2 linked regions of the Saccharomyces cerevisiae S288C genome follow. The protein of the gene in region 2 interacts with the protein of the main gene of each other region in a pairwise test. Each region holds a gene or a part of one and is shown on either strand. Other genes may lie near its edges.

Region 1 (3,875 bases), on a different chromosome or scaffold from region 2:
AAAATGGTATGTTCACCGAAGTACATTTACCGAACTACGAAAGACGTCTAAAATCTTTACAGGACTTCTTTGGATTAGCCATGTCTGATTCGAATTTACTAGATGTGATCCGATGCTCAGCGAAATTTCATAAAGATCATCCTTTAAGAAGGTTCACTAAACCAAGTATATTGACTAGATACTGGCCTTCAATTTTGTTGTGTCTTTTATATGGACCATCTTCTGTTATGTCGTTGTGGAATTCCCGGTATTTTATTCAAGATTTCATTAAGACCAATGTCGTTGACTTTGCGAAAGGGCTGATCTTGAACTGGTTATGGGCACCCCTGAAACAGGTTTGGTCTACTGTTAAGCATGACGAGGGAAGCGCCATTTCAGTGACATCACAGGAGACATTAAACTCTGACATGGATTCTCTTACCAGAATGATTGTTAGTTTTGTTGTGGATAATAGTGATTCGACGTCTAACAGCCCCATAGACCCTATTCTATTGAGTACTAAAGTCGAACATGGTGATTTGACCGAATTTATGGAAATATATGAAACACAACTACATCATCCGATAAAGAATATAGCTACGGGTGGATTAGTCAGGTCTTTATTGATTCAACTGCAAAAAACAAAAGTCGATGGATCTATGGCATTGAATGGCATTGATAAAATGCTGAAATCGCAACAGTTGGTGTTTGGAGTTGTAGCATTATCTCCGGCTTTAGTGATACTATATTCTTCTATAGTGGCGTTAAAAAGATTTGTCAAACTAGGCAATGTCTGGTCTAATGAAAAACGGTATAGGGAGCAAATAAGTATAAGTTTGAATAATGTGGAAAGAGTTTTGAATTATTCTAAACAAGGTGCGGACGCCGATGAGGAACACTTAAACCAGGGTCTACTAGTGATTGAGGTTTCTAACTTATACAAATTGGGAAGTTTTTTGATCCCGCGTTCAAGAAAGAAAGAATGGTTTAGGGACGTTGAGGAACTGGTGGATACCAATCTTGACTCCGGAGCTCATATAAATGTCGTCAACAGGATATACCACGTATATGGCAGGTTTTTAATCCATTAGCGTATAGCCTGCTGGGGAAGAAGAAAGGGAAGATATTGAATATATTCTTAATGTATTTTTTGTACAGACGTAAATATAAAGAAATCAACGCAAAATCGACGCCTTTTTACTTTTTATACTTTTTTACTAAAAAGACAGATTTTCTCGCTCATATCATAAGTGATGTACTATTATCCTCCATATACGATATATCTGTTTAAAAAAAAAGAAAAAAAAAGGTTACTTAAATTCATACTCATTAGAAAAAAATTCTAGGGATAACAACACCAAAGGTAGAACTTCGTTCAATTTATGAAAGGTTTGGCCATAATGGAGAACAAATGAATGAAGTATATAAAGAGAAAAACGACTTAAAAGATATTATTAACAATATCTGACCCAATACTAGCGCCTGCCCCAAAAATGGCGGCATTACCCAATTTGCTACCAAAGCTCTTCAAGTGGCTATGTGAGCTCTGATGTTGTTGTTGTTGTTGTTGTTGTTGGGGAGGAGGAGCTTGTTGCGGCTGTTGTTGAGGCTGCTGATAATAATTTGTGGAAGGTGGAGGAAATGGCTGCTGTTGATAAGATGATGCGGCACTATTTTGCGTGGGGATTTGTTGTAATTCTTGAGCTTTATACTGTGGAGGTGGTGGAAGATTGGATGGACCGTTAGACCCAGAGAAAGCTGGCTTGACATAGTTTGCTGGGAAAATACCGGTACGGCCATTACAGCTACCCTTGTACCACTCTGGAGATAATTTTTCTAAAAGTTGGACCTTGTCACCTGGTTTTAAGCCCAAATCACCATCTTGTTGAGGATCAAATTGATAAAGAGCTTCGACATATTCCAAGGAAGCTGGACTGGCGTTGCGGGGTGCATTGGCAGGATCCCATTTTGCCGGCAAGCTCTTATTTATTTGATCGTAAACGTCATTTGAAATGACATTTGACCCTTTTAGAAAATCCAGTTCTGTCCTAATGTTTGTTAAGGAACGATTAATCAATGAAGCAGACATTTTTGAAATATCAGATTGCCTTCTTTCCTAATGTTCTTGTGTTTGCGCCAATGTGGGCACTTTGCCTATTGTCTCAACCGATTTGAGGTTCGACTATATATGCAGCTTACAATATCCATCCCCGCCTCGAAGGAGGCTCGGTTAATCACGCTGCACGAACGAAAACAATAGTTAAAGAAACGTTTAGAACAATCTAGCGCTTTGAAGAAAGAGTATTAGGCTCTTTACGTGAAGGATGGCACATTCTCATTCAAAAGTTGCTGCTAACTTTTATCATCAAATCAGTAAACCCCTTCTTGTTTTTTCTTGACAGAAGCTTTCACATAACGGAACCAACCATGGAATAACTTAGCACCACATCGAAAAGGATTTGGACTACTGCGCAACAAAGTGGGACCCATGTAGACATAGAAAATAAACCAGATCTATAGATCGCACCTATTAAAAACCCCATAACTGTACCAGTCGTCAAGCCTTGAACGCCTCCGTATAAGACGTACATGACGAATATCCATACACTTCCAGCCTTCTTTCTATGGGTCAAGCTAGCATACACACCAGCAGTAACGTAAAATGCACCATTAAAGATCAAAGTCCAGTACAGCGAAAATTTCCAAATGTCAGATATATAGTATAAGAATGCAGTATTATACTTCGAGTTGTTGATGGGCCAGTATAATGAGGGGAATTTTGGCGTTACATATCCAACAGGTATATCGTTATTTGTTACGAATGATCTGAGCACAGGGAACATGCGACAGAGTAGTGGATGTTTTTATTGTTAGTTTTGTGCCTATTATTTTCTTAAGCCACAGGGAGCGATGCCTGCATCCAGCCGTGGCGGATATAGTCTTGGTAATGAATAACATACCTCATAATACGGCAGGAAGTTGGAACTGATCTTGTTGGCAGTTTTTATCTTATACAGAAGCGTCAAGAGTAGGAAAAGGTTTTATTATTGCATATTTATCAACTTTCAGTATGTTTCTTTTTTTCTTCGGCAATGAAAGAGAAAACAATATAATTGAAGAAAGAGGAAATAGTGTCCGAAAGAGATTCTGATATGTATTATAAAGAGAAAGACAGTTCAGTAACACAGAATCGCCATGCGTGGAGAATGGCAGGAATTTAAGACACCTGCAGGCAAAAAGTATTACTATAATAAGAACACGAAGCAGTCTCGATGGGAAAAACCTAATTTGAAGAAAGGCTCTAACCTAGAAAGCAATGCGAAAGAATCACAGACAGAGAGGAAGCCAACATTTTCATTAGAACTGGTTAATGGTTGGCACTTAATAATATACAACGATGGTACAAAACTTTACTTTAATGATGACTCTAAGGAGTTCAAAAATGACATCAGTCAAGAGGACGACAGCAGGTGTCGCTCATTAATCGAGTCGTTAGATAAGGAAAAACTGGTTCTTCTGATTGGCGTTGCCAGAGGTTACACTATGCGGGAGGAGGACATTGATAAAATCCTCGAATCTTGCAACGAAGAGATTCATCTATTTAAAAGAAATCAAGACGAAGTTGAGAGAAAAGATGAGATCAGCGAAGAGGCGGGTGACGTAAAATCCCCTTTACAGGAAAGCCACACTGGGCTAGTCAGCGGGTATGGTTCATCTTCGGGGGAGGAAGACGAAGAGGAAGACGAAGAGGAAGACGAAGAGAATGAAGAACAAATTGTAAATCAAGATATCAGCATTATCGATGATCTGAATCGTATTGATACAGATGACATTGACGAGCGTAATATCTTCTTCGAATTATTCGATAGGTATAAACTAGACAAGTTTTCCACGTG
Region 2 (6,430 bases):
AAAAGTCTACCAAAATTCATTGCCAGACAGAGAGAAATATTTTATCAAAATCTCATGCAACAAAAAAAGAATAATGAAAATACAGATGGGAACATTTATAATGACTTTTTCGTTTGGACCAGCATGCGTGCTAGGACTATAGGGACTGCTCAATATTTCAACGAAGATGATTATCCTATCAAACAAATGAAAATGTTAGATGAGTTAAGTGCAGGTGATTATGATGGTATGACATATCCAGAAATTAAAAACAACTTTCCTGAAGAATTCGAAAAAAGACAGAAAGATAAGTTGAGATACAGATACCCTGGTATTGGCGGTGAATCGTATATGGACGTTATTAATAGACTCAGACCTGTTATCACAGAACTAGAAAGAATCGAGGATAACGTTCTTATTATTACACACCGGGTGGTGGCAAGAGCCTTATTGGGTTATTTTATGAACTTGAGTATGGGTATTATTGCCAATTTGGATGTCCCATTACATTGTGTATATTGCCTAGAACCAAAACCATATGGAATCACTTGGTCATTATGGGAGTATGATGAAGCATCGGATTCATTTTCTAAGGTCCCACAAACGGACTTGAATACCACCAGAGTAAAGGAGGTTGGCCTTGTTTATAATGAAAGAAGATATTCTGTTATACCAACAGCTCCGCCAAGTGCAAGAAGCAGCTTTGCAAGTGACTTTTTGTCAAGAAAAAGATCTAATCCTACTTCTGCATCTTCATCCCAGAGTGAATTATCAGAACAACCCAAGAATAGCGTTAGTGCTCAAACTGGCAGCAATAATACCACTCTCATTGGGAGCAACTTTAACATCAAGAATGAAAATGGTGATTCGAGAATACCATTATCTGCACCACTTATGGCCACTAATACTTCTAATAACATCTTAGATGGTGGAGGTACCTCAATTTCGATACATCGTCCCAGGGTTGTTCCAAATCAAAACAACGTGAATCCTCTTTTGGCTAACAACAATAAAGCGGCTTCTAATGTACCTAATGTAAAGAAGTCAGCGGCTACACCAAGGCAAATTTTTGAAATAGATAAAGTGGACGAAAAGTTATCCATGTTGAAAAATAAAAGTTTTCTATTACATGGAAAGGATTATCCTAATAATGCTGATAATAATGACAACGAAGATATAAGGGCAAAAACCATGAATCGCAGCCAAAGTCACGTTTAAAATAATATGAAAAAAAAAAAAAAAAAAAAAAATCAGAAATATTTTATGAATTATTCAAATAGACTAATGAAGTGATAAAACCAACCTTTTTTTTTCTTCTTTAAGGTATATTGTTCGACGCAATCATGAAGTGTTGCGGTTTTTTGTTTATATTTTTCTATAACTGTTTTCCTTTTTCCCAAAGAATTATGCAAATGAAGAATATCTACGTATATATGGAAAATAATTTAATAGATATATTTTGATATGACTAAGTTATGAAATAGAAAAAAATAAGAAAAAAAAAACCTTGACTAATTACTATAAAGCTCCGTAAATAATTCCGAAGGCGTCGACCCATTGACCGACTCTGCCAGTCACACCTAGGATATATTGGCCATTAGGTGGCTGCAATTCAGCGAACCCACCTCCGTCTTTGTTACCAAACATGTCGGTCATTCTCCCATGACTCGTTATAATTTGGATAGCATCAACCCAAGCTCCGCACCTCAGATTAAACCCAATGATTATTTCACCCGGTTCTAGTGTAGCATCCGTAAAATTTTGTGTTTCATGTCCAAAGAGTACACTTTTTAGATTTTCTTCGTTTATTGAAGCATGATTTTTGATACTATGTGTAATTTTTGAGAAATAATTTCTTGGTGGTACAGAGGGCTTGGATGCGGGAGCATCCTTTGTTCCAGTTGGTTTTTCCTTGTAATAAAACCTCACACCATCTAATGCATAGCCATGGTATATTCTCACAGCAGTGACTAATCTAACATCAAAAGCGACGACGCCGACAGCATTACCACCGTCGCTGCGACCATAAAGTGGTGATTTGATACCTTGAACATTTTTAGAAAACCCATATTTCGACATGTCTAATGGCTGAACATCTAACAAAGATGGGAACTTGTCGAACTCGGTTTCCGGTGCATTAACAGAAAGAATTTTCAATTTGAAGGTATTGCCAAACTTGGCGAGTTCATTCTTGGGCAACCTGGCACGTAAATCATCTAATGTTACTATAACTTCCCGTTGAGGCCCCTGTCCACCTAGGGAAACCGGCAAGTATTCAATATGGCCCCTGGCCAAATCATCACATATAATTTCAATCAAATAGATTCCTGTGGGCGATAATATGCGGCAACTGCCGTTACCCAAAGGATATACAGAGTGTTTTATATTGGGGTATCCGCCCAATTTTGTAGGTCTCATGAACGATGGATCGTAATAATCCTGTGGTAAAGTGAAAGAGGGGTGGTACAAAAATCTTACCGTATCGAGACGGTTCCAGGTACATTCTTCCTTGGGGAAGATGGGAGGACTAGCACCAGTTGAATTAGTTCTTACAGAATAAGCCTCTTTAGTCAAGAAAGACCTATTCAAAGTGGTATAGCCTCTTAGCATAACACCGCTTTCCTGATGAGGACAACCCAGTAAGTGACCAATCTCATGCATAAATGCTCCCAACGTGATAGTCAAACATTCCCAGTAAGTACCACACTCATTACAGTCGTTGGCGACTTCACTGGTGGAGGATCTTGTCTCATCAGTAAAATAAGGCACCAATTGCTCGAGACAAGTAGGCCATGAGTAAAGCCCGTGCGACCCAAAAATGGCGAGCTTAATGCTGTCGTCACCCCCACCCAATGCGGCGTGGCCTCTAATCAACTTACCATCCCAGTGGGTGTCTAGAAACATACAAGCTGCCTGAACAGGCTTTTCGTTATTGGTGAAGGGTCCGCCGTAACTTTTAAGGGCGTCCATGGCTATCCCAAAAAGGGCGCCGGTGTTTTTCCCTTTGGAATTCTGTTGAGCTATGTCAGGGTCCTGGATTTCCTTCACCGTCTTTTCCGAACGAACTACATGTATTTTGATGGTGTTTCTCATAGCAGGCCGTTCGAACAGCGTGTCCCAGGTAAATTCTTCAACAAAGGGAAACGTCCTATTTCCCATACTGTTTCTCAGCATTTGCTCGTTCGTGTACGCTTGCATGAGTCTGGCCCCAAGTCTTAGCTTCTTGATTGCCAATTCGAGGCCATTCCCGCCCTCTCTGTCCTTCTGTTCTCGAGGAGAGTCAAACTGTAAAGGCGAATCCTTGGCCAAGATCAGACACAGGTGTACGGGAGGGTTCTGCGTCAGTGGTGTGTAGTAACATACGATTGTCCTAGCGGTGTTAGTGTCTGTAACAAAGGTCAACTTGTTCTCACCAGGAGTCAATATCACAGTGGCCTTGAAGAACTGATTATGTATGGGGTAAGTAATTGGAGGCAATTGTGGATGCTGCACTTGAACGGTCTTCGCACCATTTTGCTTATTGCATTTTCCGTGCACGATAAGACAAGGAGAAACGATTTGCTCGTTCTCTCTCAGGTTGAATAGATCAATATCCTTCGAGCCTACCATTTATTTCTTTCTCTTCGAACTACTACTTCCTTTTTTTTTTTTTACTGTATACGATCTAATAATAAGAAGAAAGAAGAACTCCTTTTAAATTTCCTTTTTCTCTCTATTTTCCGGCGACCGCTACTCTTAAACGTCCAAACCAAAAAAAGATCGAGAGAATTGACTGCGCCAAGACACATGAACTTCTGAAACCTAAGAAAGCCTGACTGTTCCTAAGGTGATCTATATTTATATACAACATCATGCTCTTAAAAGAATAGGTTACGTAATTAATTGATGGAAAATTTCAGCAAATTTCCGCCTAGAATGCCGGGTAACAAAAAAGTAATTAGTGCTATGTTTGGGTGATAGAATCGTGTCACAAATATACATAGCACTGACAAGTGTGCATTTTGCACTAACCACTGCTATAAGTTTTTCAGCTTAATGCAGTCTATTCAGGCACTATCTGGGCTTGAAAAACAGTCTTGGACATGGCCACTGGAGCAGATTTGTTAACGCTTAGCTGTTCTCTTTTTTTTTTTCTTGTTTTTTCCATTTACGGCAGAAGAAAATGAAAACTGGAAGAACGAAAACGAAGAAAAACAAAACTATGTAAGGAGGATGGTACATCAGGAAACAGGCCAAAAATAGCACTACAAAAAGGTTTTATCTGGCACTCAGGTCCATTTTTGCCGCATTGAAACAGACATAAATATATAAGTCTGAGACCATCTGCAAAATGTCTCATCACAAGAAACGTGTTTACCCACAAGCTCAGCTCCAGTATGGACAAAATGCCACCCCTCTACAACAGCCAGCACAATTCATGCCTCCGCAGGATCCTGCTGCAGCTGGAATGAGCTATGGTCAGATGGGAATGCCGCCACAGGGTGCAGTCCCTTCCATGGGGCAGCAACAATTCCTAACCCCTGCTCAAGAACAGTTACACCAGCAAATTGATCAGGCCACCACTTCCATGAACGATATGCATCTGCACAACGTACCGCTAGTCGATCCTAACGCTTATATGCAGCCACAGGTTCCCGTGCAAATGGGCACACCTTTGCAGCAACAGCAACAACCAATGGCAGCGCCTGCGTATGGCCAACCTAGCGCCGCAATGGGCCAAAACATGAGGCCCATGAACCAGTTGTATCCAATCGATCTGTTGACGGAATTGCCTCCTCCAATTACCGATCTGACCTTGCCTCCCCCACCGTTGGTTATTCCTCCAGAAAGGATGTTAGTTCCTTCTGAATTGTCCAATGCGTCTCCAGATTATATCAGGTCGACCTTGAACGCCGTTCCTAAGAACAGCTCCCTGCTGAAGAAGTCTAAACTTCCATTTGGGCTTGTTATCAGACCATACCAACACTTGTACGACGATATCGACCCGCCTCCATTGAATGAAGATGGACTTATTGTCCGTTGTCGTCGTTGTCGTTCTTACATGAACCCTTTTGTCACTTTTATCGAGCAAGGCAGAAGATGGAGATGTAACTTTTGTCGTCTGGCCAATGACGTTCCTATGCAAATGGACCAGAGCGATCCAAACGACCCAAAGAGTAGATACGACAGAAATGAAATCAAATGTGCTGTGATGGAATATATGGCCCCAAAGGAATATACTCTAAGACAACCACCTCCAGCCACTTACTGTTTCCTGATCGATGTCTCCCAGTCCTCTATCAAGAGTGGGTTACTGGCCACTACCATCAACACCCTTTTGCAAAATCTTGATTCCATTCCAAACCATGATGAAAGAACCAGAATTTCCATCTTATGTGTAGACAACGCCATTCACTACTTTAAAATCCCATTGGATTCTGAAAACAATGAAGAGTCCGCCGATCAAATCAACATGATGGATATTGCCGACCTGGAAGAGCCTTTCTTGCCCAGACCAAACTCTATGGTTGTGTCCTTAAAGGCCTGCAGACAAAACATTGAAACTTTATTGACCAAGATTCCTCAAATCTTCCAATCTAATTTAATCACAAATTTCGCACTGGGCCCCGCTTTGAAATCCGCTTATCATTTAATTGGTGGCGTTGGTGGTAAAATAATTGTTGTGTCAGGTACTTTGCCCAACTTAGGCATAGGAAAATTACAAAGGAGAAATGAAAGTGGTGTTGTTAATACATCCAAGGAAACTGCACAACTACTTTCCTGTCAAGACTCATTTTATAAGAATTTCACCATCGATTGTTCTAAAGTACAGATTACTGTCGATTTATTTTTGGCTTCTGAAGATTATATGGACGTTGCATCACTATCGAATTTGAGTCGTTTCACTGCTGGTCAAACGCATTTCTATCCTGGTTTTTCAGGCAAGAACCCAAATGATATTGTCAAATTTTCCACTGAGTTTGCCAAGCACATTTCCATGGATTTCTGTATGGAAACCGTAATGAGAGCCCGTGGTTCCACAGGTTTGAGAATGAGTAGATTCTATGGTCACTTCTTCAATAGATCATCTGATTTATGTGCATTTTCCACCATGCCAAGAGATCAATCATACTTATTCGAAGTTAACGTTGATGAATCCATTATGGCTGACTATTGTTATGTTCAAGTAGCGGTACTTTTATCTCTGAATAATAGTCAACGTAGAATAAGAATTATAACATTGGCTATGCCAACCACGGAATCGTTGGCAGAAGTCTACGCATCTGCTGACCAATTAGCTATAGCGTCGTTTTACAACTCGAAGGCGGTGGAGAAAGCATTGAATTCCAGTTTGGACGATGCAAGAGTATTGATCAACAAATCCGTGCAAGATATCTTAGCCACGTACAAGAAGGAAATAGTGGTGTCCAACACTGCAGGGGGGGCCCCATTGAGGTTATGTGCCAATTTG

What was found. Proteins that work in one complex are often made in the same cells at the same time.
Region 1: the proteins of YIL108W (region 2) and PIN3 interact in binary tests that used the Saccharomyces cerevisiae proteins (3 or more experiments, as listed by UniProt).

Annotation. Positions count from the first base shown.
Region 1 is NC_001148.4:832,758-836,632, reverse strand, and holds PIN3 (Pin3p), read right to left. Parts: upstream 2,069-3,875; coding exon 1,421-2,068; downstream 1-1,420. Other genes in the region: NCA2 (Nca2p), read left to right, coding at 1-1,070; MAY24 (May24p), read right to left, coding at 2,388-2,805, 2,940-2,944; URN1 (Urn1p), read left to right, coding at 3,175-3,875.
Region 2 is NC_001141.2:158,045-164,474, reverse strand, and holds YIL108W (putative metalloendopeptidase), read right to left. Parts: upstream 3,589-6,430; coding exon 1,498-3,588; downstream 1-1,497. Other genes in the region: PFK26 (6-phosphofructo-2-kinase), read left to right, coding at 1-1,197; COPII subunit SEC24, read left to right, coding at 4,310-6,430.